Linked DNA regions of Elephas maximus indicus. The protein of the gene in region 1 purifies or fractionates together with the protein of each later gene. This does not show direct contact. Links are inferred from orthologs where the notes say so. Each region holds a gene or a part of one and is shown on either strand. Other genes may lie near its edges.

Region 1 (7,265 bases):
CCTCCTCATGTTGGTCCAGTGGTATGGGAGCATTTGCAGCCCTTTGCCAGGCGAGTGGGGGTGTCAGAGTAGGAGTGGTATGGGCTCACTTCCTACCATTCAGTAGCTGGTCAAGTGGCAGGAGGGGAGGGATTATTCCGGCCTGGGGTGGTGGCAGGTCTGAGCACTGGAGATGCTCTACTTGTGGCAGTGCAACAGGGGCCAGCAGAAAAGGGGGAAATATGGCATATGAGGCTAGGTGGGAAGGAGAAAGAAAAGGAAAAATGAGAAAAAAATAAATAAGAATGGTGGCATGGTGGGGCTTAGTAAGTGGGAACGGAGTGGAACCGGAGGCCAGTAGGAAGGGAGTAGAGGTGACATGCGGGGCTAGGTCTGATGGAGGAAGAAAAAAAATGGTAGCATGGTGAGAGCCAGCGGGTGGGGGTGAGGCAGACTCAGGGTAGTGGCAGGTGGATGGCCAGTGGCTCTCTAGCCACAGCAGCATGGCGGGGGCTGGCAGGAAGGGAGGGAGGTTATCCTATGAGGCTAGGTGGGTGGAGGAAAGAAAAAAAGGAAAAAGATGGCAGCAAGTTGGATGCCAGAGAGTGAGGGTGGGGTAGACCTGAGCCAGCAACTGGCCAGTGGCTCTCTAGCTGTGGCAGAATGGCAGGGGCTGACGGGAAGGGGATGGAGTTGACGTATGGGGCTAGGTAGGGGGGAGAAAGAAAAGAAAGAGAAAATAATCATTTTTTTTTTAATGGTCGCATGGTGGGGGCCGGCGAGTGGAGGCAGGGTGGACCCGGGGGCCAGTGGGAAGGGAGGGTATGTGACATACGGGGCTAGGTGGAAAGGAGAAAAAAAATTAAAAATAAATGGTGTCACAGCGGGGTCAAGGTGGACCCAGGGGCCAGTGGGAAGAGAGGAGAGGTGACGTATGAGACTAGGTGGGAGGGAGAAAGGAAAAAGAGAAAAGAAAAAATATTTTTTAAATGGTGACAGACACAGTGGGGGCCGGGAGTGGGGATGGGGTGACCCCCGAGGCCAGTGGGAAGGGAGGGGTGGTAATGCATGGGGATAGGTGGGAGAAAGAAAGAAAGCACAGAAGAGAAGGGGAAAAAAGGCAGTGTGGCAGGAGCTGGCAGGTGGCGGCTGGGCAGAACCAGGGTGGCTGTGGGCTAGTAGCTCTCTAGCCATGGCAGCTCAGTGGGGGCCAGCGGGAAGGGGAGTGGATGGCATACAGGGCTAGGTGAGAGGGAGAAAGGGGAAAAAATGGCAGTGCAGTGGAAGCAGTTGGGTGGGGGTGGGGTGGACTCGGGGGAGCCAGTGGGAAGGGAGGGGAGGTGACTTACCAGACTAGATGAGAGGCAGAAAGAAAAAGAAGAAAGAAGAAAAAACTGTGCAGCCAGAGGGGGTGGGGCAGGCCGAGGCTAGGAGTAGGTGGGGCTCATATGATGGATCCCAGTGGTGGGGGCTTCTGGGAGGGGGGGTTCTTGCTTCAATTCACCAGAAGGTAAGGGGTGGGTAAGCATGTTTTCCTGGTTACTGGGTGCTCTGTTTCCGGCTGGGAGCTCCATGAAGTTGCCTTCTCATACTCCCTGTCTGGAGGAGTTGCTGGCTGTGCTTCAAGATGGTGATGCTGTACCGTATTAGTTGGCAGGGGACCTCTACTCCCTATCTCTCCTTGTTCTCTGTTTTCTATCAGTTTCTTCTTCCATTCAGTATTTGATCCAGTTCTTTATCGTTTTGTTCCAGAGTTCCAGGATTGACTTTCATATCTGTTTTACTTAGTTTTTCAAGTCTTTGCTGCAGAGGGATGGCATGGCATGTCTATCTAGGGTGCCATGTTGGCTCCACCCTCCCCATTCATTCTTTCACTCACTCATTCCACAAACATTTATTGAGTACCTGCTCTGTCCCAGCCACTGGGCTAAGCACTGGGGATACAAAAATGAATTAGATATTGATCTCTCCCTCAGAAAGTTTACAATTTTATTGTTTAGACAAGCTAGGTAAATAAATGCTGTAAAATACTATGATTAAGAGCTAATTTTACTGTTATTAAAAAAAAAAAAAAAACTGTTGCTATCAAGTCGATTCTGACTCCTAGCAACCCTATAGGAAAGAGTAGAACTGTCCCAAAGGGTTTCTAGGGAGTGGTTGGTAGATTCTAACTACTGAACTTTTGGTTAGCAGTCAAGTTCTTAACCACTATGACACCAGGGCTCCATTATTGTTATAAAAAAAAAATTATTGTTATAGATAATAATAAAACTTATGAAGCACTTGCCATGTGCTAGGCACTGTGCTAAATCCTTTATATGAACTACTCATTTTGCCTTCACAAAATCACAAGATTCTATTATCATCCTTACTATATATGTAATGAGGCTTAGGGATGTTGAGTTTCCCAAGGTCACACAGTAAGTCAATATCAAAGGCAGAAGTAAACTTGCTGTCTAACCACTCTTTGGCTGCTCTTGAGTTGACACATGGCTGCAGAAGATCAGAGAATGCCAGCAATAACAGCAACATTGGTAGTTTACCAAGCACATACAATATGCCAGGTGCTTTATGCTTTTTTTTAATGCTTATTCTCTCACTTATTTCTTTCAGAAATGTACAGGGAAAACATTATTATTGTTACCATTTTGTAGATGCAGAAACTGATGCTCACAGGTGTTATATTTCATGTCTCCCCAATCAGTAAATGAACTCACTGTAATTCAAACTTGGGTCAGATTGGCCCCAAAGCCAATATACCTCTACTCTGCCTGCTGCTGTATGTAAAACATTTCTCAGGAAGATACCTAAGGATACATTCTTCTGTGGTAAGTCTGAGATACCCACACAACCAAAGCTGACCATTTACGTGTTGGTTAAACAGTACCTTACATTGGATGGCCTTACCTTGCCGGGTCCCTGGATCTAAGGAGGGTGATGTGTTAAATGATTATCTCAGGACTAAATGGTGTGGCTCCGCCCATGTCTTCATGTTACAATGGTCCAAAAACCAGAAAGGTGGCATATCGGTGAAGCCAGCAATTTACATTATCATAGCATGTACTGGTACTGTAACTGCTTTATGGCTCCAAGACTTCTCTTTTCTGGACAGACTATCACATCCTCCAATGGAAAGTTAAATATTTTTGCAAAGAGGCGAGCCCATAAAGGCTTAAAAAAATATCCTAACATATTTTCATAAACCTTGTTTTTTAAAATCCCACTCAGGGGAATATTGGTTTTCTTCTCCAGACTATTAAATTGTTTCCTTTTGTCTCAGAATGCATCAAAAAGGATACTCATCTCTTTCTCTTTGTCAAACACAATAGTGTCTTTGACAGATCTTATAAATTCCAAACTGACACAATGTGCTTGTCTTCTAGTGATAAGTTTTTCAAAGTCAGTATTATTTCATGGGCCAAAACCAAACCATCACCCTGCACATCAAAGTACTTATATTTGGTGATTGGCCATGTCCTTTAGCAACCTCAACTTCTGGGACTCCACCTCAGATCCAAGCTCTTCTGGAATTGAGCTGGGGACCACCCTGTTCTGAAAACCCACCCTTGTTTCTTATCCTCAAAGTAGGAGCCTGGGATTAGGGGCTGTGTATATAAAGTTCCGTCTCTCTCTCGGTTGAAACTTCAGTGAGAATTTTGGTAAAGTTGGTATAATCTTTGGATCAACTTACTTTTTCCATGTTTTCGTATGCCCTCAGGGTGCATGAGTTGGTGAAGGGTTGGCTTCCTCAGGTTTAGTCTATATTTTTGTGTTGTGGTTTTGTATTTGTACAGCGGATAACTCGGAACTAAGTTACTGCTTTAATGTGAGTGCTGGCAGGAAAGAAAGAAAAAAAAGCCGTGTTGGAGCACAGACTGTCTGTGTTAGCTCTCTGTCACTGACTACTCAGCCCAGCTTTGGGCTTCACCTAAGTGATAAATGGTCCTATTGTTTGGGTTTTGGTATTAAAAAAAAATCGCACTAAATCTAGATTAAGCGGGGACAGAGACCCATTTCATTGCACTGTACTTTAATAGTCCTGAGATCTGAGGTCTTAAGGGTGGCTCCTTTGAACAGCTATCTCTCTCCAGGGCGGTACACTATGCTGTCTTTGTTTCATCTGATCTTTCAGCTAAATAAGAGATGGTCACTTATCCCCACGACTCCCATATCCTGCTGGATTTCTGTTGCTAAAAGAGAAACTGACCACAGGGAAAAGGTAGAGGTTTCAGGCAGGGCATTTCAGCGTGTGTTTACAGGCAGGACTGACTTACTCAGCAAATCCTGCTCGGAGGAGCTGCAGCCAATGAAGAAGCTATATCCCGGCTTGCTTGGGGCTTCTGAGTTTGAGCTGCATGCAGAAATGTAAGGCAGTGCTTCCTGGCGCTGATGGCAAAATGGGACCCATCTCCAGTGATTCCTCGGGCTTCCCCACTCTGCAGATCTGGAAGAGAGCCTACAGAAACATATTGGTGATGTAGCCAGCTTTAAAGGCCCAGGGAATCCTTATGGATTCAGGAGACTGGTTTTTTATGTAGGTTTTTATTTTTTATTTTTTGGGGAAGATGAAATGCTTCTCTCGTTACCTGCCTTACATCTTCAGACCTCCGAACACCATCCTCTCTTCCAGCTGCCACACGGAAGGTACAGACCAGAGAGGGAGAGTATCTGGGTGGGTGGGAAAAACTGGGCTGGTGTATGACTTGCCACAGGCTCTGCTGACACGGCTTTCTGTAGCTACTAGATGACTGCTGTTCCTGGCAAAAGCTGGTATCTGACAGACTTAGATCTGCTTCGAAAATCAGCTTGTCTTCTACTAGCAAACAGGAAGTCTTTCTGAGAGGCAGGGTCATGTTGAAAAGGTGATCTCCAAGCTGATACAGCTGATTGGAAAATAATTGAGAAATGTTTTTCCAATTTCCCTTGTTCCACTTAACATGCAAACAAGTCATTGGAACTAGCGTCAAGAGAAAACATTTCAGTAGATGCTGCCACATACGTTTACCTAAGCTCTCTGTGTTGCCAACTGTTTGTTTAATAACTTGGTGCATGCCAACAGCGCAATTAGCAAAATAGAAGGAGCTTACTACCTGGCTGTGTAGTGTTGATGGTTTGATTAGTTAACTGGAAGTCTGTGCTTAGGTGACAGAGCAGCAAGAACACAGCTGACTTTCAGCACTTGCTGGAAATGGGTTTTGTGGGAATCCTAAATTAAGGCTTAAGGTGAGGGTGAGCTGAGCTTTGTGTAAACACCCCCCAGTTTTTGTTCCTTTGGGGGAGTTCCTCTGCTGCCTTCTTACCCAGCATGATCTGCAAACATGTGTGTGTACTTTCTGTGTGCACGTGTGTGCACACTGTAAACATTCTGGTAATTCACCTTCAACCAAGCTCTGCAGATTTCAGCTCTTCTTTTTTTTTTTTTTTATAATCAGTAGCTGGTTGTGCATCTTAGATATGCAATTTGCCTGTTTCTTTTAATCTAGCACATCCTTAGAAAAGAGCAGTTTCAAAAAAAGCAACCGCCTGGCCATCTGTCAGCTTTAGGGGTTGTCCTACAAGCGGTACTGGATTGAAGAGGGCTGGGGATAGATGGTGAGGTGGCGGGATTCCACCTCAAGTCCAAGCTCTTCTGGAACTGAGCTGGGAGGACCAGCCCGTTAATCAGCCTGTTCTGAAAACCCACCCTTGTTTCTTATCCTCAGAGTGGGATCCTGGGATTAGGGGCTGTGTATATAAAATGAGAAGAGCATAACCCAAATATATTGTAGTATTGGGTGGTTTTCAATCAGTACCCACAGGGAAAAGAGAGCAGAGTTTGGGATCCCCCTTGAATTGGGACTGAGGATGGTATTTTCCATAGACATTGACATTTCATAGATTTTTTTTTTCAATCGGATATTTCCCTTAAAATTTTTTTTTGGTGGCTAAATTTTTAAAGGAAAATGCCTTTTGAGAAATCTGTCTTCCATCGTGAAGAAAAACCTAGTGAGCCCCTATATATATTTGGGAGTAAGGAGAAAGGATCAAAATCTCAGAGTATATGTCCCAAATACAAAAAACCTAAATCAAATCCAAAAAATCTAGATGATTTTTACATTTCTGATAGGTTCCCCCCCAACTTCGACTTTGAGAACCCAAACACTGTTCCATTCAGTTGCTGTTTTGTATATTAATCAAACTAAATATCTCACATCATATGGACCAAAAAAACACAAGAACTTTTTTCTTTTCATGATTTATCGGACATATTTATTAGATTTTTTTACACATTCCATTGACAACTTTTACAAGTACTATTTTGATATATAATAAATATGCTTTGAGGCATTGTGTTTCCCCCTGGTGAATCAAGAGAATTTACCAGGAGTGTACCAGTGATCATTTCTCAGCTTGATGTTCCCTGGGTTTGTGCAAGAACCTGGACTGTGGGCAAGTGCCCTGGAGATGTGCTCTTTATGGACTAGGGGAGGGAACAAGAACTTTTTAAATTCTTATTTTAAGTAAAATTTCACTGATTTATCCAATCAAAATGGAAACCCCATTTTGTTCATATATATATATTTTTTAAAAATCCCTGTTTAACCCACTATCACCAGATTTGGGGGCAGGGAGGGAGTAGGGAGACATGTCTACATTTGTTGTAAGCCTAATAAAGATAACAGCAAGGGTAATAGCACCTGTCAGACACATGGACACATGAACACATGGATGTGGCACTGGGGAGAGGGGAAAAGGTATGAGTTGTATGCTAAGCAAGTAGGGCCAAGTAACTGCTCTGTTCTGTGCCCATTTTTATGCATAAAATGGAAATAAAAAGTAAATAAAATAAAATAACTCCCAGGATGTTATGAGAATTCAGTGAGATAATACAAAGTTCTTAGTACTACTTAGCATGTGATAGGTGCTATTTCTGAGTCCCACACCCTATGTGTTTTCTTGGATATTCAAGTTTTCTTTGTCTTTTGCACCATTCTTATCAATGAGTCACCAGGAATGAATTACACTTTTTTTTTTTCTTTAAAGTTTGTCTAAGGAGAAAAATACTTCAATACGAATCTTGGTTTGTGTTTTTCTTCTTATGCTGTTAGCAGTCATGTTACCCTGTAGGCTGTTTTGGAAAAATTATGACTACGAACTTCATATTTTATTCAATTGAAGAGTGAAGAATGAATAACTTGTGTATATCCCCGCAAAAGTCAAACAAATACAAGTGATCTGAACAACCCTCTTAAGAGTAATTCTAGAACATCTTTAAAAACTTCAATAATTCCTGGACTTCTTAGGCA
Region 2 (7,565 bases), on another chromosome or scaffold:
AATAGATTTGACGCGTTGAACACTAATGACCAAAGACCGTACGATTGTGGAATGACATCAAGAATGTCATACATTAAGTGAGAGGTCATTAAAAAGACCGGAGAGAAAGAAAAGGAGGTGACGTGATCAGGAACCGATGGTACCAAAGGAAGAAGTCCAAGCTGCACTGAAGGCATTGGCAAAAAACAATGATCTGGGAATTGATGGAATACCAACTGAGATGTTTCCACAATTGGATGCAGCACTGGAAGTGCTCACTCGTCTACGCCAAGAAATGTGGAAGACAGCTACCTGCCCAGCCAACTGGAAGAGATCCATATTTATGCCTGTCCCCAAGAAATGTGATCCAACTGAATGCGGAAATTATCAAACAATATCATTAATATCACATGCAAACAAAATTTTGCTGAAGGTCATTCAAAAACGGTTGCAGCAGTATATCCAACAGGGAACTGCCAGAAGTTCAAGCCAGATTCAGAAGAGGATATGAAAGGAGGGATATCGTTGCTGATGTCAGATAAATCTTGGCTGAAAGTAGAGAATACCAGAAAGATGTTTACCTGTGTTTTATTGTCTATGCAAAGGCATTTGACTATGTGGATCATAAATTATGGATAAGACTGCAAAGCATGGGAATTCCAGAACACTTCATTGTGCTCATCCAGAATATGTAAATAGACCAAGAGGCAGTTGTTCAAACAGAACAAGGGGATACTGCATGGTTTCAGTCAGGATAGGTGTGCATCAGTGTTGTGTCCTTTCACCATACTTATTCAGTCTATGCCGAGCAAATAATCTGCGAATCTGGACTGTATGAAGAAAAACGAGGCATCAGGATTGGAGGAAGACTCATTAACAGCCTGAGATACACACGCCACAACCTTGTTGCTGAAATGGAAGAGAACTTGAAGTACTTACTGATGAAGATCAAAGACTACAGCCTTCAGTGTGGATTGCATCTCAACATAAAACAAAATTCTCACAGCTAGACGAAAAATTCTCACACCTCAACATAAAACAAAAGTTCTCACAGCTGGACCACTTACCAACATCATGATAAAGGGAGAAAAGATTGAAGTTGTCAAGGATTTCATTTTACTTGAATCCACAATCAACGCCCATGGGCACAGCAGTCAAGAAATCAAACAGCCCATTGCATTGGGCAGATCTGCTGCAAAAGGTCTCTTTAAATTATTAAGCAGCAAAGGTAGCACTTTGAGAACTAAGGAGCTCCTGACCCAAGCCATAGTATTTCCAGTCGCCTCATATGCATGCAAAAGCTGGACAATGACTAAGGAAGACCAAAGAAGAATTGATGCCTTTGAATTATGATGTTGCCAAAGAATATTCAGTACACCATGGTTGGCCAGAAGAACAAACAAATCTGTCTTGGAAGAAGTAAGGCCAGAATGCTCCTTAGAAGTGAAGGTGGTGAGACTTCGGGCATGTTGTCAGGAGAAGGACATCATGCTTGGTAAAGGAGAGGGTCAGCGAAAAAGAGGAAGACCCTCAACGATATGGGACACAGTGGCTGCAGCAATGGGTTCAAACATAGCAATGATTGTGAGGATGCATGGGACTGGGCAGGGTTTCGTTCTTTTGTACACAGGGTTGCTTGGAGTCGGAACTGACTTGATGGCACTTAACTTACATGATAAATTCGAAAAGGTCTTTTTGGACCACATTTTGGGCAGAAGGCTGGGACTAGGGGCAAGAACTATGCTCTTTTTAGTAATAATGATTTGTAGCTTTTAATTTCAAAGAAAGAATTTCAAATTTGATTTTTTTTATTCCATCATCATTGAAGGAGATCTTTATGTACATTCCCTATATCAATTTCAATATCATAATTCAAATCCCAATTGTCAAATGGTTTTTGAACTCTAAAACTGTTTTCAATCTTTTGAGGATTATGGATATGTAAAAGGATCTTTTTAGACCAATACAATATATAATCTTAATGTAGTGTGTAAGTCTCTGGATATATCACAAGATATAAATGATTCATGTTTCAAATTTTTTAATGGTATAATTTTTAAAAAAGCCTAGTAAATTGTATAAGAACGAGATCAAACATGTGATTTTTAAGGCTGAACTCGTTTAAAAATTCTTTGATCCAAAGGGGGAAATAAACAGAATAAACGCGAGAACACTTGTAGTAAGGAAAGAAATTTGTAACCAGACTACAAACCCAGGGTTAAATGCATCTTTGCATGACAAGCAAGGATTGGAAATTGATGGCTCCGTTTCACAGGAGAAAATAACCAATATGCAAACAAACATGAAGATGGCGCGGGGCTCCGCAGAGTTGTGTTCTGTTGTGCATAGGGACATTGTGAGTTGGAGCCCACTTTGCAGCAGCTAACAACAAGTTGACACACACGTACATACATACGTAAACCAAAGAGCAAAAAAAGCTTTAGGATCATAGTTTTTGTTTTCAATTAGGATGCTAGAAATAAGACTTTCTTGACAACCGAAATACCAAAAATTGATACTGCATACTCTTGCCAGATCTACCAACGTCCAGCTTTCCCTAGTCTGTTTCAGACTGCAGAGACCATAAAACAAAGCATGGGAGTGGAAGTCTGGGTTTTAATCCTTCCTCCAGCAGTTACTCTGTGAATTGAACAAGTTTTCAAGGCTGTATTTCTCACATCTGCAAAACGGAGGGTAATAATAGCACCTGCCTCAGGGTTGTCGAAAGAAGGAAACGAAAATATGTAAAGCAGCGTGTAGGAAGCGTTCCAAAAAGTATTTGCTCTACAGCACTACTAGACAAAACTTTCGGAAGCACTGCTTTCACCAGGTCACCTCCCCACGCCAACTTAGCAACACGCTTTCACAGTGATTCCACACACATTTGCGTCTTTCAAGGACCTCACTTCCTAACCACCATAATTCTCATTTCTCCTCAAGATGTGTTTTCTCAGTCCATCTTTGGAAACTCTGAAAATACCATAATCGTTCTTTCATTCTAAGCCTTTGAGGTTTAGCTGGTATCCAGCCTCCTTCAAATCTTTATACTGGAGCCCTGGTGGTGCAGTGGTTAAGCTTTTGGCTGCTAACCAAAAGGTCAGCGGTTCGAACCCACCAGCCACTCCCCGGTTCCATAAAGATTCACAGCCTTGGAGACCCTATGTGGCAGTGCTACTCTGTCCTGTAGGTTTGCTCTAAATTGGAATTAATGGCAATGGGTTTGGGTTTTTCAAGTCTTTATAGACTAATCTCGAAGATTGCATATCAAATATATACTGGCACGCTTTCTATTCAGTGGTAGTGTCATCATTTCATGTTTTGTTCAGTTGGTTTGCCACTATTGACAAGTAGCTTGAGAGCTTGAGCTGTACCGGCCTTATTTCCCACCATGTGACCTGTTTAGTTGCTGGAAGTATTTATAGCTTTCCACACAGACAGTGGCTTTTCACACATTTGTCCTCAGGCACAAAAAATTCTTTTGAACTACTTTTCTCCGGGTAACCTCAAAATTTTGCCTGGGGGGAAGGCTTACAATTCGGTTTCAATGCCACCTTCCCAAAGCTTTCTGCAGCGGTTTCCTAGGAGGGATAAAGCAGCTGATGTGTTGGTCCCATGCTGTCGTAGTGGACAAGCTGAAAGGAAGGCCTTTGAACACGTGAGGAATCCGAGGCTGGGAGAGGTTTGGTGATTGCCCAAGGAAGCAGCTACGAAGTTGGCAAAGCCAAGGTTGGAATCCTTGCTGCCTTGTACGGAACGATGCCATCCACTTGGGTTCAGCTGCAGTCGTACGTATGTGTCTCTAATAGAGACAGTGTGGTCTTTTAACATCAGCTCTACACAGTATCTGGCAGTTAGCAGCTATTTGGTAAATAGATGTTGAACAAACAAATCATTAGAACTCCGTGAACGTTGGACTAAAGGTAAAGAATGCTGGAGCTGGAAGGGGCACAGACTGACATGATTCAGAACAATCGTCTCGCCTATGTGATGCTGAAAGGATCCGAGATGTTAGGACCCACAGCTAGTGGCTGAGGCAAGACTAAAACCAAAAAAATACCCAGTGCCATTGAGGCGTTAAGACTCATAGTGACCCTACAGGACAGAACTGCCCCATAGAGTTTCCAAGGAGCACGTGGCGGATTCGAACTGCCGACCCTTTGGTTAGCAGCCATAGCTCTTAACCACTATACCACCAGGGTTACCAAGAGACAAGACTACAAGTAATTTATTCACTAGATAAATATTTACCGAATGCCTACTGTGGGGGAGTGTCTGACTCTGGACAGACAATATTGTCCAGAAAAAGCCCCAGCTTCCCAATTCCCTGTTCAAAGCACTGGAAAGCAGTGCAGGAGCCTAAGGTAAAAGTGCTGAGAAAACAGGAAGTGAAGGAAGAACCAGGAAGGCGGGATTGGGGGGTAGAAGAGAAAAGAGGGAGCTGTTTGGCCCTCTTGGGCCGTTTCTCCGCCGAGCCACGTGAGGGCGCTGCTCCGCTCCTCGTGTCGCCCGACTGCGCCTCCGCCTGCTCTTTTTTCCGCCGGAAGTGCCGGGGCAATGACGGAAAGCCGGAGGGAGGGGAGAGAAAGAGCGAAAGAGAAGGGCCGAGAGAGCCGGGAGAGGCCGGCGGGCTGGAGGCGGCGGTAGCGGGCGGCCATCGTCCGGCAGGAGCTGCGCCGAGGGCCCGCGCCGCGCTCCGCCTAGCTCCCCGCGCCCTTCGCCGACTCCGGGGGCGCGCGGCCGGGCGGGAAGGGCGGACAGGGGTCTCCCCGAGGCCGTGCGCCCGGAGCCGCCTGCTGGGCTTGGGCGGGGCGCGCGGCCCGCGGCCGCCCTGCCGGTCTCCGTCCTCTCCCGCCGGGAGCTGGCGGCGGCGGGAGAGGGGAGCGGCGCCCGGGGCGGGGGGCGGGCAGCGGCGGGGACGGGGATCGTGGCGCCATGGACGACAAGGCGTTGACCAAGGAGCTGGACCAGTGGGTCGAGCAGCTGAACGAGTGTAAACAGCTCAACGAGAACCAAGTGCGGACCCTGTGCGAGAAGGTGAGAGAGGAGAGGGGAACGGGGAGCGCTGGGCGGCGGCGGCGGCGACCCCTCCCGGGCCTGCGGGTTCCGTGGCCGGCCCAGCCTGCCGAGGGGTCCCGCCGGCCTGCGCCCCTTGTTCCGAGGGCCAGCCCGGAGGCCGGGCCAGACCTTTCCAGGGCTGCGGCCTTGAGCTGCCCTCGCCAGGTTGCTCTGCCTCCTGGGGTGGGTGGGGGGGACGAACGGGGCACCCCGAATCCACGCCCCAAGTTTAATTGGGGTCGCCTGCAGTTGTGGGGTCTTCACGTCACTCCTGCATTTCACGTGTGGATTAGCGATAGCGGCGTATTCAAATACCGGGAAATTAGTCTAAGGCAGTCCCTTGACTTGAAAATGCACCCAAAATTAATATTGTTGATATTAATAAACTTGCTTTAAAACGTAGAATTTCCTCAGGTGAGCGGGAGCCTTTCAAAAATCGCTAACTTGGATGCGTCTAGTGTTTGTAGAGAAGGGGGTGTAATGGCAAAACCGGGTTTTAAAACAGTGGTTGAGTTCGGGTTCCACAGATGGTAACTGGTTTTCAGGTTGAGTGGCTCTTGGAAGTTAAATGTGGATTTTCAGCAACGACAGCCAGGCTTACGTTTGGGAACAGTGCTTGCTTAGAATGGTAAATAGGATATGTGTTTTTCGTACTGTATTGCGCTTTTCAAAAAGTCGTTTCCATTTTAATTGTAACTTTTTTTTCTTTTCCAACGTACTCGTATGGTTAACTGTATATGATCTTTCCTGATTGTGTCATTTTAGCTTTCGGAATTCTGTATCCATTGTTGTCATAACTACTGAAGTTACTTCGGTTTCTCCATTGTATTTTAAATCCAAGGATTTTCTCATCCATCTCTTATAGACTAAGTAGTTTAATTTTCACATATTTTCTCGTTAAAAGGCTCCATTTGAAGTCCATGAAAGTGTAACAAAATTACTTATGCTTTATTACTTTTTTCAAAATCTTTTTAAAGCTGTAATGTATGAAACTTTTGATCATAATGTTTTAAAGTCATCATGCCCCAAAAATGTACTGGAGAAGGAAATATCTTGTCAGTCTTATTAATCGGGTGCTCCTAAAATTATACAGCTTACTTTGGGGTGAAGAAGTAATGATTAGTACTAAGTTAAAATAGTATTTTTAAATGAGGTTTAGTGTTCTTTTTAACAAATATGATGTTGCCTAGGGTCTTTACATAACTATTTGTTAAAACAATTCATTTCTGTAAGTAAAACTGCCATGTAAATAGTTTACTTGTAGCTTCAAATAGACATTCAATTTGCTTGTGTGCTAACCTGTAATTTAGTGAGTCTTAAAATTTGCGTTTTAGATAATACTCTCTCAAACTCTAGTGTCAAGTTAAACACCCAGTTTTGAAATCAGCTGAATCAGTTAACCTCCTATGAACATCGTATGTATATATTCTTGAATTTATGGACAAACTTGATAGTTGAGTCAGTTTTTCTGACAAAATTTTAAGATTTATTTCTATAGAAGAAAATTGTGCCTCTACTTGGAAATAATCATACTTGAGTCTTAACATTCTTATGAGGAAGCTTTCTGTATTTATCAAGAGGTACTATTTTTATTTCAGCTTCTAAATATACTGGGCCTCCAGTTCCTAAGGCCTTATTGGTATATTTAAAGTTACGTCGTGTACTTTTTTTTTTAATCCCATTTTATCTTTTTATCCTAAGCTTATATCTTGTACTTTTTCTTTGAATATTTTTACTTATTCACAAAAGATGAATTTTTTGAATGATCCCCAACCGCTTTGTCTTCCACCATTTTGATGGAATTGACACACAGTCTGGCCATGAATTGGAATCGACTTGATGGCAAAGGATTTCTTGTATATTTGTTTTCCCCCATTGGATGGAGATGTGGAATAGAATCCCTTTTTCTGCTTTTTTGAACAATACATAGTTTCGTATTCTTCTAGCAACTGTGGTGTACCTTTATGGTATATGTGTTCCTACCAAAGAAAAATCAAACCCGTTGCCATCGAGTAATTTCCGACTCATAGCAACCCTATAGTACAGAGTAGAACTGTCCCATAGGGTTTCCAGGGAGCGGCTGGTGGATTCACACTGCTGACCTTTTGGTGAGCAGCTGACCTCTTAACCACTGTACCACAAGGGCTCCAATTGTAGCTATAAAATCCAGAAAAATACAGTCTCAGTGAGTATGTCTAGTGGTTCCTGTTATCGAAAGTGCAAAATACTGGGGTAGGATTGTGTGAAGTAGCTTTACTCCTAACTTGACCTACTTAGTACTTACTGTACCCTTCCAGATCGAGAATGGCAGATACATAGGAAAAATAAAAGAAAAATAAAAAGTCAAACCTAATTATAAATCACCTTTTTTTTTTTTTTAATTTTTTGCACCCTGCTGGAGATAAAACTATAGAAAGTTATGTTTTAAGGGATTTTCACCAGTATGGTGGTGGTTTTTCTATTAAATTTAATTTCTGTTCTAACTCAGATTACCTGAGAACCGAAGGAGTTGGCTGAAACCAAGACAAAGT
Region 3 (6,872 bases), on another chromosome or scaffold:
GGAACACAGTTCAATCCGTAACAAGCACTTAACCATTTGCACTTCCCAGGGGCTCCTTTGCATTTAGTAGGTTCTCAGTAGTTGTTTGTGGGCAATTATAGAATGGTTGATAACAGCTTCTAAGCTCATCCACGAGATAATCTCTTCTTCCACCGTGATAACAAAATGTGTCCCGTACTTAAACATAATCCCTGCTCTCCACGTATGTTCTCACAGCCCCTGCCGAGTTCCACTGACACTCCTTTGACTCTGTGCCATTTCATGAATTATGCTGGGAGGATACCGCTGTGAAGGCAACCGAGCCAACTTTGATTGAGCAGCCTACACAGAGAGTGCAGTTGAGAAAGTCACAGGCAGTAAAAAGGGCTTCATTTCCTTCTTGCTGGCTCTTTAGAAGTCACTCACTTCGAAGGCACTGTGGAAACGGGGGCAAGAAGAGCTGATGGTACCCTGGGTGATCGGCAACCAGCCTCACACATCTCCAGTGTTTATGTGAGGGTGCTGGGGCCTCATGGTATTTAGACCCCCAATGAGATGGAGCCTGAGTGTGTGTGTGTGTGTGTGGTTGGTGTGTGTTTCTCTCTCCTTTCTACTGTCAAGGCCAGCTAGCTGCTCTTCCACTGACCCTTTTCTGTCAGATTTAGGAGTTCAGCATCCCAGTTGAGAGTTAGGCTTATGGTTAGTGTTTGAACTTAAACTTACTTCCAATTGACATGCATTGCCAGGTCTTCACGTCTTATTCTGTTCTATAGTTCTCATTTAAGGGGCCCTGGTGGCGCAGTGGTTAAGAGCTCGGCTGCTAACCAAAAAGTCAGCAGTTTGAATCCTCCAGCTGTTCCTTGAAAACCCAATGGGACAGTTCTACTGTGTCCTATAGGGTCGCTGTGAGTCAGAATCAACTTGGCGGCAACAGGTTTGGTTTTGGTTTTGGTGGGGCAAGTTAAACGCTTGGCTGCTAACCGGAAGGTTAGTGGTTAGAACTAACCAGCGGCTCAGTGGGAGAAAAGATCCGGCCATTTGCTCCCATAAAGATTACAGCCTAGGAAACCCAATGAGACAGTTCTGCTTTGTCATATGGGGTCACTGTGAGTTGAAATAGACTCAATGGCCCCCAACAACACTTCCCCATTTACATTCCATGTACCCATGCTGTTTTTTCTATATTAAAAACATTTTTGAGTTCTAACTTATATACAGTATAGTATATAAATCTCAAGTATTCAGTTCAGTGAATTTTTACATTTGTGTAGACTGTACTAGCAGCACCCAGATCAGAATTTGGGTCATTTCCTTTTTACCCCTCCCTCACTGATAGTCAGTGATCCCAAGGGTGACCAACTGTTTGGACTTCTCTTTCCATAGATTGGTTTTGGCTCCTCTTGAACTTCATGAAAATGGAGTTGTAGAATATGTACTCCTTTGTGTTTGATTTCATTCATTTAATGTTATACTGTGATCCATCTATGTTGCTGAGTGTAGAATTCCATTGTATAATTTATTCACCATTCTCCTGGTTATGGGCATCCGGGTTTTCTCTAGTTTTTAGTTATTACTGATTATGCTACCAGGGATGTCCTCGTACATGTCTTTTGATGGACATAAGCACTCATTTCTGTTGGGTAGATACCGGGAGGAAACCCTGGAAGTGTAGTGGTTAAGTGCTACAGCTGCCAACTGAAAGGTCATCAGTTCAAATCCACCAGGCGCTCCTTGGAAACTATGGGGCAGTTCTACTCTGTCCTGTAGAGTCGCTATGAGTTGGAATTGACTCAACAGCAATGTGTGGGTTATATACCAGGAGTAGAATTGGTTAGTGATAGGGCATGCATATGTTTTCTTTTGGTGTTGTTGTAAGGTGCCCTCTAGTCATTTCCGACTCGTAGTGACCCTGTGTACAACAGAATGAAACACTGCCAGGTCCTCCAGCATCCTCACAGTCATTGTTATGCATAAGCCCATTGTTGCAGCCACTGTGTCAGCCTGTCTCATTGAGGGTGTTCCTCTTCTTCACTGACCCTCTACTTTACCAAGCATGATGTCCTTCTACATTTTCCCAAAGTAGCTGTACCAATTAACACTCCTTTAGTTCCTGTACTTTCAAAGTGCAATTTTCCTCTGTAACATTTTTATTCTAGGATGGCAGTGCTAGTTGATGTTGTATGTTGAAGTATCTGCCAGTCCATCGCAGATTACATACACACACACATTTGTATTTCACATTCATTCACTGTGTATCCGTAGGTGAATATTTGCCTTGTCTTACACTTGAGGGGAAACTCTGGTGGCATAGTGGTTAAGAGCTACTGCTGCTAACCAAAAAAAGGTCAGCAGTTCAAATCCACCAGGCACTCCTTGGAAACCCTATGGGGCAGTTCTACTCTGTCCTTTAGGGTCACAATGAGCTGGAATCGACTCAACGACAGTGGATTTGGTGGTTTTGGATTATGCTTGGGGAATGCTGAATATACCCTGGACTGCCAGGAGAACAAACAAATCTGTCTTGGAGGAAGTACAGCCAGGATATTCCTTAGAAGTGAGGATGGTGAGGCTTTGACTTGCTTACTTTGGACATGTTATCAGGCGGGATCAGTCCCTGGAGAAAGATACCATGCTTGGTAAAGTAGAGGGCCAGCGAAAAAAAGGAAGACCCTCAACCAAATGGATTGACATGGTGGCTGCAACAATGGGCTCAAACATACCCACTATTGTGATGACAGTGCAAGACCGGGTCATGTTTCATTCTTTTATATGTAGGGTCGCTGTGAGTCCAACCCAGCGCCACAGCACCTAACAACAACGTGCTTGGAGGTTCATAGTGAATAATTGCCCTTAGGAATTAAAAGGACATTGTCTGTAACTTTAAAAAAGCGAATATTAATCGGAATAAAGTTTGACTATTGAGTAGATGTCTGGTTTTGTGACTCAGGAGTGAGCATGAATGCCCAGTGTTTGCATGTGGTATGTAATTCATACTCGGACTGAAGCCGGAAGGCCGAATTGACTCAAGAAAGGTCCACTGGATCCGCCTTTGGCATCAGTCATTTGCAACAGGCTGAAATGCACATTATGGCTGCTATTTTCTCTCACTTATCTTTGATTTCTTTGAGAGGAAGCAGTAGCTCAATATATTAAACACTGATTAGCATCCTCTGTGCTGGGCATTTTAATTCTATCAAGTATATCTCAGCCTATGGCTGAAAAAGACTGGAAACCAGGGCCTCAGTTTCTTAGTTTATGTAACAGATGTAACCCACCTGCAGGGGCTGATGAACAGTATAATTAACAATTATGACCTCCATGTGAGAGAAAGAATCACCCAAGTAAGGCTGACTTAGAGCCAGCCTAGAGAAGCCTGGATCGCCTGGATATTCAAATAATAGTTCTCCCCTCTTTTGGATAAAGCTACATTTGTACTGCTGGTGCTGCTTATAAGGGAAGGTCAGGGATGCCTCTCAGCCAATGACATTGGAGCAGAGCCGTGAAGGGATTAAACCAAAAACCAAACCCGCTGCTGCCCAGTCAATTGCTACTCATAGTGACCCTATAGGACAGGGTAGAACTGCCCTGTAGGGTTTCCGAGGCTGTAAATCTTTACAGAAGCAGACTGCCACATCTTTCTTCCTCTGAGTGGCTGGTGGGTTTGAACCGCTGGCCTTTCAGTTAGCAGCCGAGTGCTTAACCACTGTACCACCTGGGCACCTCTGACTAGATTAAGCACCGTGGATACCTGGAAGAAGACTAACCAATGTGGAGGGGAGCATGCCTGGTGGGCAGAAGAGCAGTGAGGGGCCTCTTTGGCTGGAGGGGAGGGAGGCGGGGTCAGAGGAACAGCAAGAGCCCAACTTAGACAAGGCTCAGGAGGCCACCATCATGACCTCAGCTTTTTCCTAAGTGGGAATCCACAGCAGAAGCGTTTGCTCAGGGAAATGACATGAGTCAACTTTTTTTAAAGGATTGCTTTGAAGATTGGGTGGAGAGCTGATTGCAAAGACAGGGTGGAAACAGGGAAGCCAGTTAAGTTCTCTGATAGATGTACTCAAGCAAGAGCCAAGTGGCATAGATGTTTCATCACTGTGTTTTATTGGTAATAAAATTACAACCAGTAATTGTGTTCTTCGAGACTTAGACAATGTCTGGCACATCCCAGCCACCTTAGTAAGGTAATGATTAAAACCCCTTGCTCTCGAGTCAATTCCGACTCACAGTGACCCCATAGGGCAGAATAGAACTGCCCCATAGGGTTTCCAAGGAGCGGCTGGTGGATTCCAACTGCCGACTTTTTGGGTAGCAGCTGAGCTCTTAACTACTTCGCCACCAGGACTCTTTAGGTAATGATTTAGTAATCTGCAAATTAATATTATGGATATTAAGGAGCCCTGGTAGTGTAGCACAGTTCGACTCTGATACTCACGGGGTCACCATGAGTCAGAGTTGACCAGACAATAACTGGAGGGATTGTTTCAAGTGCCTGGCAGGTAGGAGGCACTTGGAAAACGTCGGTCCTTTTCCCTTTCTGTTCTTCCATGTCACTGCATCCTTGATCCACCTGCCGCATCCTGAAGCTCAGACCTCGTTATGCCATTCCTCTTGTCAAAAATCTACCTTGGCTCCCTATTGCCTCACAGACTAAATACAGGCACTTTTGCCTGGTGTTCAATGCTCCATTCCCTGACTCCGACTTCCATCTCCAACTTTTTCCCGTTACTTATTCTTCTCCATGTATTTGATGTGTTAGCCGATGTCATGGATTGAATTGTGTCCCCCAAAATATCTGTCAACTTGGCTAGGTCATGATTCCCAGTATTGCATGATTGCCCACCATTTTGTCATTTGATGTGATTTTCATATGTGTTTTAATCCTACCTCTACTCGATGGCAATGGGTTTTTTTTTATGATGTTAATGAGGTGGGATTAGTGGCAGTTATGTTAATGAGGCAGGACTCAAGATTAGGTTCTATCTTAAGCCAATCTCTTTTGAGGTATAAAAGAGAGAGGTGAGGAGAGAGACCTCGCCAAGAAAGAAGCACTGGGAGCATAGCGTGTCCTTTGGACTCGGGGTCCCTTTGCTGAGAAGCTCCTTGACCAGGGAAGATTAATGACAAAGACCTTCCCCCAGAACCAACAAAGAGAGAAAGACTTCCCCTGGAGCTGGAACCCTGAATGCAGACTTGTAGCCTCCTAGACTGTGAGAGAGTAAATTTCTCTTTGTTAAAGCCATCCACTTGTGGTATTTCTGTTATAGCAGCACTAGGTGACTAAGATGGCCAAATTCACTCCTTTGTATTTACTTCTGCTGCCACTTCTATATGAAATGCCATCTCTCACTTCAAAGCCTCTTTCAAGTGCCATTCACAAAGCTGTTAGTAATCTGCAAGGTCACCGTATTTGGAGTAGGCAGCATCGTGCCCAGAGAGCCCAAGTTCTCTGCCACTTTCTGGGAACGCTGCTTAACCTCTGTGTCTCAGCTTTCCTTGTAAAATGGGGGTAATGATAACACCTACCTCGTAGAGTTGTTGGGAGGATTAAATGAGATACTACTCACGAAGCACTTTGAATAGTAGTGCCTAGCACTTGGAAAGCTTAAATCAGTTTCTATAATTGTAGGCATGAATAACTGACATTATTTTACCATCAAAACCAAAGACCAAACCCATCGCTGTCGAGTCAATTCCAACTCATAGTGTCCCTATAGGACAGAGTAGAACCACCCCATAGGGTTTCTAAGGCTGGTGGATTCAAACTGCCGACCTTTTGGTTAGCAGCCAACCACTATGCCACCGGGGCTCCATTTTTTTTTTTTTTTTTTTTTACCATCAAGGGCATCAAATTAAAATTTGTTTGAGACACAGCAAAAAGAGATGTGGGCTAGGAACCAAGAGACCTGGACTCTAGTCCTGGTCCCCACTGCTAATCAGCCGTGTGATGGTGAATATGTCATTTTCCTCTCTGCATCTTATTTCCTTTAGCTGCAAAAACTGCTGGGGTTGGACAAAAGTCTCTAAGCTCTGTTTCAGTTCAAGGAGCCATATAGGTGTCTAAAAGCCACTCCAATGCAACACGACCAAACAGAAATCCTAATTTCCACTCCTAAGTGCTTGACTACTAGGCGAATGGTTGTCTGTTCCAACGCACCCAGAGATCCTTCAGGAGACACGCCTGGGGATCTGCTTCCGAAAGGTCACAGCTTCAAAAACCCTATGGAGCCGATCTACTCTGCACATATCCAGTCGCCATGAGTCAGAGTCAACTTGACGGCAACTGGGGGGGGGCCCAGGAAGAGGATTTTAGGACTGCACCCATATGCCATGAAGAGTTTTGTGGGCTTTACTTGATTTCCAGGAGTCCTTGGGTGCTGCAAATGGCTAAGTGCTCAACTACTAGCTAAAAAGGTTGGCAATTTGAACCCACCCAGAGGCTCTTTGGAAGACAGGTGTAGTGATCTGCTTCCGAAAGGTCACAGCCTTGAAAACCCTGGGGAGCACAGTTCTACTCTGCACACATTGGTGTGAGTCAGAATCAACTCAACAGAGCAAACAACAAATTGCTGCTTCCCTGGCTTTCCTCATCTCAGTAAATGGCACCACCGTATTCTCGGTTTAAGTAAACAATTTATGAGTTATTGTCTTAATCATCTAGTGTTGCTTTAACAGAAATACCACAAATGGATGGCTTTAATAAACAGAAGTTTATTCTCTCCCAGCTTAGCAGGCTAGAAGTCTGAATTCAGGGCGCTGGCTCTAGCAGAAGGCTTTTTCTTTCTGTTGGCTCTGGGGGAAGGTCCCTGTCATCAATCTTTCCCTGGTCTGGGAGCTTTTTAGCACAGGGACCCTGGATCCAAAGGATGCGCACGGATCCTGACTCTGCTTTCTTG
Region 4 (7,493 bases), on another chromosome or scaffold:
CCGAATTCAGGGTGCCAGCTCCAGGGGAAGGCTTTCTCTCTCTGTCAACATGGAGGAAAGTCTTTGTTATTAGTTTTCCCCTGGACTAGGAACTTCTCAGCACAGGAACCCTGAGTCTAAAGGCCACGCTGTGCTTCTGGCTCCAGTTTCTTGGTGGTATGAGGTCCACCCGTCTCTCTGCTCCTTCTGTCTTTTATATCTCAAAAGAGATTGGGTTAAAACACAACCTAATCTTGTAGATTGAGTCCTGCCTCATTAACATAACTGCCTCTAATCTCATTAACATCATAGAGGTAGGATTTACAACACATAGGAAAATCACATCAGATGACAAAATGGTGGACAATCACACAATACTGGGAATCATGACCTAGCCAAGTTGACACATATTTTTTGGGGGGGTACAATTCAATCCATGACAAGTGCTTACTATAAGCAGGCACTGTGCTAACCTATTTGCATTGTTTCATTTCCTCCTCACAACAGCCTTATGAGATGCTTTCATTATCCCCATTTTACAGAGGCAAAGACTGAGGCTCAGTGAGAGAAAGTCACATCCCCAAGGACACACCAATTATGAGGGGCAAGGCTGGGACTCAGCCAAGATCTGCTAGACTCTCAAACTGGCACTCCATAACCTAGCACACAGTACACATGGGCGGGGTGGTGGGGAGATAGCTTGTGGTGTCTCAGGGGTCTTTATAGGAAGCAGTAGAAGCCAGAGAAGGTGCACAGTAACACAGGAACATCTGATCTCCCTGTTGCAGAGAATCAGCACCAGGTCTAGGGTGAGGCAGTGGTCAGAGGTGGGAAGGGGATGGGGTGTGACCCCCAGTCCCACCCAGCCAAATTTTACCTGCCTACCATACAGCAGATAACCAGAAACATCAGCCACAGTCTATAGGTGAGGGGAACGAGGGACCCACTGACCCTCACCCTGGATTGATCTGGCCAGTGCAGCTGGTGGCCTGGCATGGAGGAGTCAAGGCCCTCAGCTCTGCACTTGGCTGGGGTAGAGAGAAACTGTGTGTTGGCACATGAGGCTCCTTAGTGGGACCAGCCTTACTCTGGGAAACTTCCTGGAGGGGTCCCTTTCTCACCTGGACACCCTCCAGCAGTGCTGCCGGCTCTCCACCTGCCCAGAAGCAGGGAGTAGGAATGGGGTGAAGAGGGGTCTATCCATGGGGGCCCAGCTGACTCTTACAGAGCAGGGATTGATACAGATGGCCTGTACAGAGAACAAGTTGTACAGGCCAGAGCGCTAATGGTCAGGGGCAAGTTTGGCCACACCTCTACTTAATTCATGCCCCCCCAGCCCCCCCCACCCAGCTACCTGGACTCCCACTCAGGTGTCTGTGTGGGTCCAAGGCTCTGTGGGCAAGAGGAACAGGTGTGGGCTGAGCGCCCTGGAGCTCATTTGATCAAAATGAAGTCAGGAATCAGAACCATGGGGGCCACAGGTACGGGCAGGGATGTGGCCACGTACACACCCCAGTCACCTCCTCTTCCTGATTGCCCAGCTCCTACAGCCAGAGAGGCAGATGCCAGCTGCACCACCTCCAATGTCGCCATGCTCCAAGGTAAGGCAACAATCTGGGGATCTGCCTGGTGCACACGGGGGAGCAGAGGCACACATCCAGGGACCCAGGCACTGTGTCTCTGTGGTGCGAGGGATCACTTTTGTGTGGCCTTTCTCACCATGGTCTTGTAACTCCCACCCAATACTTGGTTGGAACTGTACAGATAAGGTAATTGTGGTCAGTTTTGCCATCCCACTAGGCTTAAAAGAGAGCCAGTTCCAGGCAAAGGCAGGATCTCATTCACAACCATCAAGGAAGAATAGCCAGGAGCAGAGTGTGTCCTTTGGACCAGGGATCCCTACAGCACTGAGAAACTTCTGGAACCAGGAGACAGTCAGAGTTGTAATACTGAAGATGGTGAGAAGTGGTAGCAGAGAAAGAGCAGAGGAGAGACTGGCAGGGACAGCACAGTGGGCTTCCCGGCACACGGAGCAAAAAAGCTGAGTGCTTTTGGGCAGGAAGCTTGGTGGCAGAATAGGATGCCTCCAAGCACTTGGTGGAGTTATGTTTGCCGACCCATGGAGCTAGCGCTGAGTGTATTCTGGCTGAGGCTTACTGGTGGAGTGGGGTGCCTGGGGACGCTTCGGGCAGAGCTAAAAGAGCTTTGTGACACTTGCCTGAGCAGGGAAGAGGCAGAGAAAAGCAGTGGCATGACTGGGAACAGACTGTCTTGATGGAAGAACTGTATCCTATGTGTTCCTGAGCCTGTTACTTCCCTAATAAACCCCATAATCATGATTATTATCTGTGAGTTCTGTCTGGCCATTGCAATGAATTATCGAACGCAGCAGAGAAGTAGAGAGTGCTATGGGAGAGACTGTTGTGTCAGAATTGGTAAAGATGCCAGAGAGAGGAGGCATGTCTGACCTCTGCCTCGCAGGAATCAGCCTTGGGCTGTTGATCTTGATTCTCCTCTCCCCCTGTGAAACTAGAGATCAGGTGCCGTCCCCACACCATATTTACAATCTCACACACACAGGGTCACACATTCAGGATACAGCCAGCCCTGGGTAGGTACTGGGGATCAGACACATAACCACAGGCAGAGAGATACACACGGAGTGCTACAAACACAGTCACAACCCCACACTGTGGTCAGATATACACTCATACACAGAAGGAGTCTAGAGACACACTATTGTCACAAACATAGACCAGCCCACACGCAGATAGCTAGACACAGTCACAGAATCACTGAGACACACTTATAACCAGGATCATCACAGACATACACAGTGCCGTAGAAGTCAATGGCCAGGAACAATCACACACATACAAGTCAAGGACACACAGAGTGTCACAAACACAGTAACAAACACACACTGGTTGGAACACAACCACACATGGAGTCCCACAACATCAGAGACTTTGGCATGGTCAGACCTGTTACACCATTGCTGAAACACAATCAAAATCACACACATGGTGTGCCACACACTCACAGAATCACAGACTCACTCACTTGTAATTAGACATACAATCACACCCAGAGTGACCGATCTGGGGTATCACACACAGTCACATGCACTCCGATGATGGGACACAATCATGTATGCATAAGTCATAGACATACAGTGTGACAAATACAGTCATTTATCCACTGGTGTTCAGACATGCAGTCATACACACATTAAGGCACAGGAACAATCACAGAAACATTGACACACATACTGCCAGCCCCTTGACTTGTGGGGCAAATCCCCCTTCCCACACGCACAGAGTCACAGACACCCAGAAGCTAGTACACTAAGAGTCACACATGCAGCTACTGACAAACACACAAGAACCCATGAGACACTCACTATGACATGCTGTCACACACACCAATGCCCAGACTGGCCTGGGCACCACCCCTGACCCACACTCACACAGCCGCACATACACCTACACGCCTTTGCTTGAGTTTGGAGATACAACAAAATGCACAACCCCCTCCCACCACACACACACACACTACCACTCCAACATTGCAGTGACATTCCTCCTCCCACAGTTCCAGGACACATTCATGAACACACACACAGCCCCACACGACCCTCAGCCCTCAATGAGGGTGGCCCAAGGGTCAAACCAGACTCCTTCGTCCCAGTGGGGTGAAGAGGGGGTTGGGGGGGTGGGGTGGGAGAGGAAGGCTGAGGGTGAATCCCGCATGATAACAGTGGTGTTGTTGTATGCCATCAAGTCGATTCCTACTCATAGCCACCCTATATGACAGAGTAGAACTGCCCCATAGGGTTTCCAAGGAGTGGCTGGTGGATTTGAACTGCTGACCTTTTGGCTAGCAGCCTGAGCTCTTAACACTGCCACCGGACTCCATGATAACAAAACAATTTATATGGCTGTTCTCCAGGGATTAATTCAATTAAACCTCAAACAACCCTATCAGATTATTATAATTGCCCCATTTCACAGGTGAGACAATGGAGGGACATATGGGTTAAGCACTTGCCCAGAATCATGGACCTAGATTAGCAGAGCCTGTCTCTTCCACTAGTGTCAGCGCTGTGACACTCTAGTTTTGTTCGCTGCTGTATGCTCAGGGCCTAGAACTGTGGCTGGCACACAGTGAGTTCTCAATGGATGTTTGTTGAGGGAAAGAAGGAATTCACATCCCTTCCAACTTTGATAAGTTGATAATTCAACTCTGCGTCTCAGGAGGGAATACCGGAGGCTTAGGCTGGGATCACAGTCCCCCGAAGTCCAGCTTCCCAGTCTGGGACCGGCTCAATCACTCCTTCCCCAGCCATAGTTCACGGTTCCCAGGTGGAGGGTGCGGCTTGCCTTGTTAAGGGCGGGGCCTGGCTCGTTATTGGTGGGCCTCCCAAGGTAGGCGGAACATCTCTAAACTGGTCTTCACGATTTGCTGCTTTTTTTTTTTTTTTTTCGGGGAGAGGAGACGGTAACCCGGAAGCTCTTCGGGTCAATATGGCGGCGCCCAGCTGGAAGATAGAACCGGTCCGGTGGCCGCGGCCGGCCTCATGAGGAGGTAGGTCACGCGTTGGAGGGGGAGGGAGAGCTCCTAGGCCCCGGGGTGGCTCGTTCCGGGTCCGGGAACGCGGAAGGGCGGCCCCACAGGGACCCATCTGCAGGCCTACAGCGCCATGACCTTTTGAAGTGCGGGGCGGGGACGTAGAGGAAATCGCTCCCGCAGCCTCACATACTTTATTTCCCATTTTGTAGATAAGACAACTGAGACTCAAAGAGGTTAAGGCCCTCGCTCGAGATCACGCTGCAAGTCCGTAGCAGGCGAGAATTCGAACCCGTGTCTGCCAGTTGTTCTTGAGACGCAGAATCTTGGCAGCCAGCCGCAGCGCTGCTGTACGTACACCCATTCAAGGGGTTCAGGTTTATAGAGGTTTTGTAGAAATTTAGATCTTATTTCCTTTCAATTTGATAGTTGTTGGGCAACTGCCATTACCAGACACTGCCCCAGGTGCTGGGTACACAGCAGTGAACAAGACAGACAAAAATCCCGTCTTTTCTGGGTGAACGGGACATTGAACAAGTCAGAAATAAATGAAACAGATGATTTCAGCTACTGATCATTGCTGAAAATGCATTAATCTTGGTAATGGAGGCTTTTTAGATGGTGGGCAGGGCGGTCAAGGGAGGCGTCTCATTTGAATGGAAATCTGAATGACCAGAGACAGCCCTGGGGAGGTCTGGGGAAAGTTCGTTCCAAACAGAGGGAAAAGCAAGTGCAAAGATCCTGAGACGAATAAAACTTGGCTTGTTTAAGAAACAGTGTAGCTGGAAGAGTAGACCCTGTGGGATTTTATTTTAAGCGTGTGATATACATTGGAGCCCTGGTGGCTTAGTGGTTAAGAGCTATGGCTGCTAACCAAAAGGCCAGCAGTTCAAATTCACCGGTTGCTCCTTGGAAGCTCTGTCCTATAGGAGCGCTATGATTTGGAATCGACTCCACAGCAAAGCGTTTTGGGTTTTAGACCATTCCTGATTTTAGGCAGAGTGCACTAAAAATAACTTACATTTAAAAAAAATTCCTCTGACCACAGTGACGAGAACTGACTGGAGGCAGGTAAAGGTAGAGGTGGGAGAGGCTGAGTAGGTGCCTAGGGAGAGGCAATGGATTGGGGTCATGGCCTGTGAATGAAGAGAAATGCATGCATATGGAATCAATTTGGGAATAGTCAAATTGATGGATTGAATGGGGGAGTGAGGAACTTGGTGGGCTCAGAGCTGACTCCTAGGTTTGTGGCCTGAGTAACTAGGAATGGTGGTGCCATTGCCTGTGATGGGGAGGAACAAGCTTAAGCAGCGATACCAGTTTGGAGCAAGTTAAGTTTGAGATGGCTGGGTGTACATCAAAGCGGCAGTTAGGTATCGAGGCTGGTGCTCTGGGCTGGTGTTGGAGATAAACATTTCAGAGCTGTTAGCGCATAGGTCAACACTTATTAGACTTTAATACACACAGGAGACGCCTGGAGCTCTTGTTAAAACACACATTCTGATTCAGCAGGTGGTGTGGATTAGGGCCAAGATTTTGCATTTCTAATAAGCTCCCAGGTTATGCTGAAGCTACTAATCCCTGGAACACACTTTGAATAGCAAGGATTTAGAGCAGCGGTTCTTAATCCTAACTGCATATTAGAGTCATTGGTATGCTTTAAAAATTTGGTGCCTGGGCCCCACACCCAAATATTCTGATTTTGTTTATTTGGGGTGTGGCCTGGGCATGAGAATTTGTTTTTTTAATTTTATTTATTTTGTTGTTGAGAATACACATAGCAAAACATAACACCAGTTCTGCAGTTTTTACATGTACAATTCAATAACGTTGATTGCATTCAGTGACGTTGATTACATTCTTCAAACTGTATAACCATTCTCACCCTCCTTTCTGAGTTGTTCCTCCTGCATTAACATCAACTCACTGCCCCCCCCCAAAGGCTCCTATCTAATCTTTTGAGTTGCTGTTGTCAATTTGACCCCATATAGATAGATCTTAAAAGAGCACAATGCTCAAGGCAGACATTGTTTACTAGTTAAGCTAAACTACTGTTTGGTTTTAAGAAGACTTCAGGGTATATTTTTGGTTTAAGGTTCAAAGATTATCTCAGGGCACTAGTTTCAGGGGTTCATCTAGCCTCCAGGGCTCCAGAAAGTCTGGAGTCCATGAGAATTTGAAACTGTTCTGCATTTTCCTGGGCACAGGAGTTTTTTAAAGCTCCCTAAAAGATTCCAATATGAACAAAGTTTGAGAACCACCAGGGCTGTATATAGGAAATACAAAGATGAGAGGAACAAGTGAAATGACACTGCAGGGAAGCAAGCAGACAAATCCACAATGTGAAATTCTTTGCAGTCTCATTACACAAAGTGTAGTCCCCAGATCAGCACATCAGCCTCATCCAGGAGCGTTTTGGATGTGCAGAGTCTCTGGCCCCAGCCCAGATGTGCTGAATCAGAATTGGCACTTTAATGAGATCCCAGATGAGTCATCTGCATATTCAAGCACTTGTGAACATTGCAAAATTTAGAGAAGGAAATGTATCCTGCTGATTGATAAACAGAGAAAGTAAACCAAGAAAATATCTGAGTGTTGAGAAAAAGGCGGGAGGGTAGGTCACTTGTACCAGGTGCTTCTGAGAAATTGAGCAAGACGGAGTCCTGAGAAGTAACCGTAGCCTTTATAAGATATAAAACACAGAGGCCTTTACAAGAGAGATTTCATTGGAATGGTTGGAGGAGCAGCCAGGTTAGAGAGAGTGAGGATGGAGTTGTAGTGTGTAGACACCTCTGGGGAGAAATTTTGCTATAAAGGGAGCAGATATGTGGGACAGAGGTTGGAGGGAGACCTGGGGTCAAGATGGGAGATGCTAGAACAGGTTTAAATGGTGATAAGAATGATTCAAACACTTCCCAACTCATTATATGAGGCCAGCATTATCC

The links.
Region 2: the proteins of PPP2R2B (region 1) and PPP2CB purify together in Homo sapiens (affinity purification with mass spectrometry; 5 studies listed by BioGRID and IntAct, with this or other methods). This does not show direct contact. The link is inferred for Elephas maximus indicus from reciprocal best matches to the Homo sapiens genes PPP2R2B and PPP2CB.
Region 3: the proteins of PPP2R2B (region 1) and PABIR1 purify together in Homo sapiens (affinity purification with mass spectrometry; 4 studies listed by BioGRID and IntAct, with this or other methods). This does not show direct contact. The link is inferred for Elephas maximus indicus from reciprocal best matches to the Homo sapiens genes PPP2R2B and PABIR1.
Region 4: the proteins of PPP2R2B (region 1) and ECSIT purify together in Homo sapiens (affinity purification with mass spectrometry; 3 studies listed by BioGRID and IntAct, with this or other methods). This does not show direct contact. The link is inferred for Elephas maximus indicus from reciprocal best matches to the Homo sapiens genes PPP2R2B and ECSIT.

What each region holds. Positions count from the first base shown.
Region 1 is NC_064820.1:161,175,181-161,182,445, reverse strand, and holds the start of PPP2R2B (serine/threonine-protein phosphatase 2A 55 kDa regulatory subunit B beta isoform), read left to right. Parts: upstream 1-4,250; 5' UTR 4,251-4,544; coding exon 4,545-4,623; intron 4,624-7,265. UniProt on the Homo sapiens protein: The B regulatory subunit might modulate substrate selectivity and catalytic activity, and might also direct the localization of the catalytic enzyme to a particular subcellular compartment.
Region 2 is NC_064840.1:69,435,653-69,443,217, forward strand, and holds the start of PPP2CB (serine/threonine-protein phosphatase 2A catalytic subunit beta isoform), read left to right. Parts: upstream 1-4,559; 5' UTR 4,560-4,911; coding exon 4,912-5,013; intron 5,014-7,565.
Region 3 is NC_064827.1:10,663,472-10,670,343, forward strand, and holds the start of PABIR1 (PPP2R1A-PPP2R2A-interacting phosphatase regulator 1), read left to right. Parts: upstream 1-3,851; 5' UTR 3,852-6,872. UniProt on the Homo sapiens protein: Acts as an inhibitor of serine/threonine-protein phosphatase 2A (PP2A) activity. Inhibits PP2A activity by blocking the substrate binding site on PPP2R2A and the active site of PPP2CA.
Region 4 is NC_064821.1:29,504,004-29,511,496, reverse strand, and holds the start of ECSIT (evolutionarily conserved signaling intermediate in Toll pathway, mitochondrial), read left to right. Parts: upstream 1-4,478; 5' UTR 4,479-4,566; intron 4,567-4,760; 5' UTR 4,761-4,898; intron 4,899-7,493.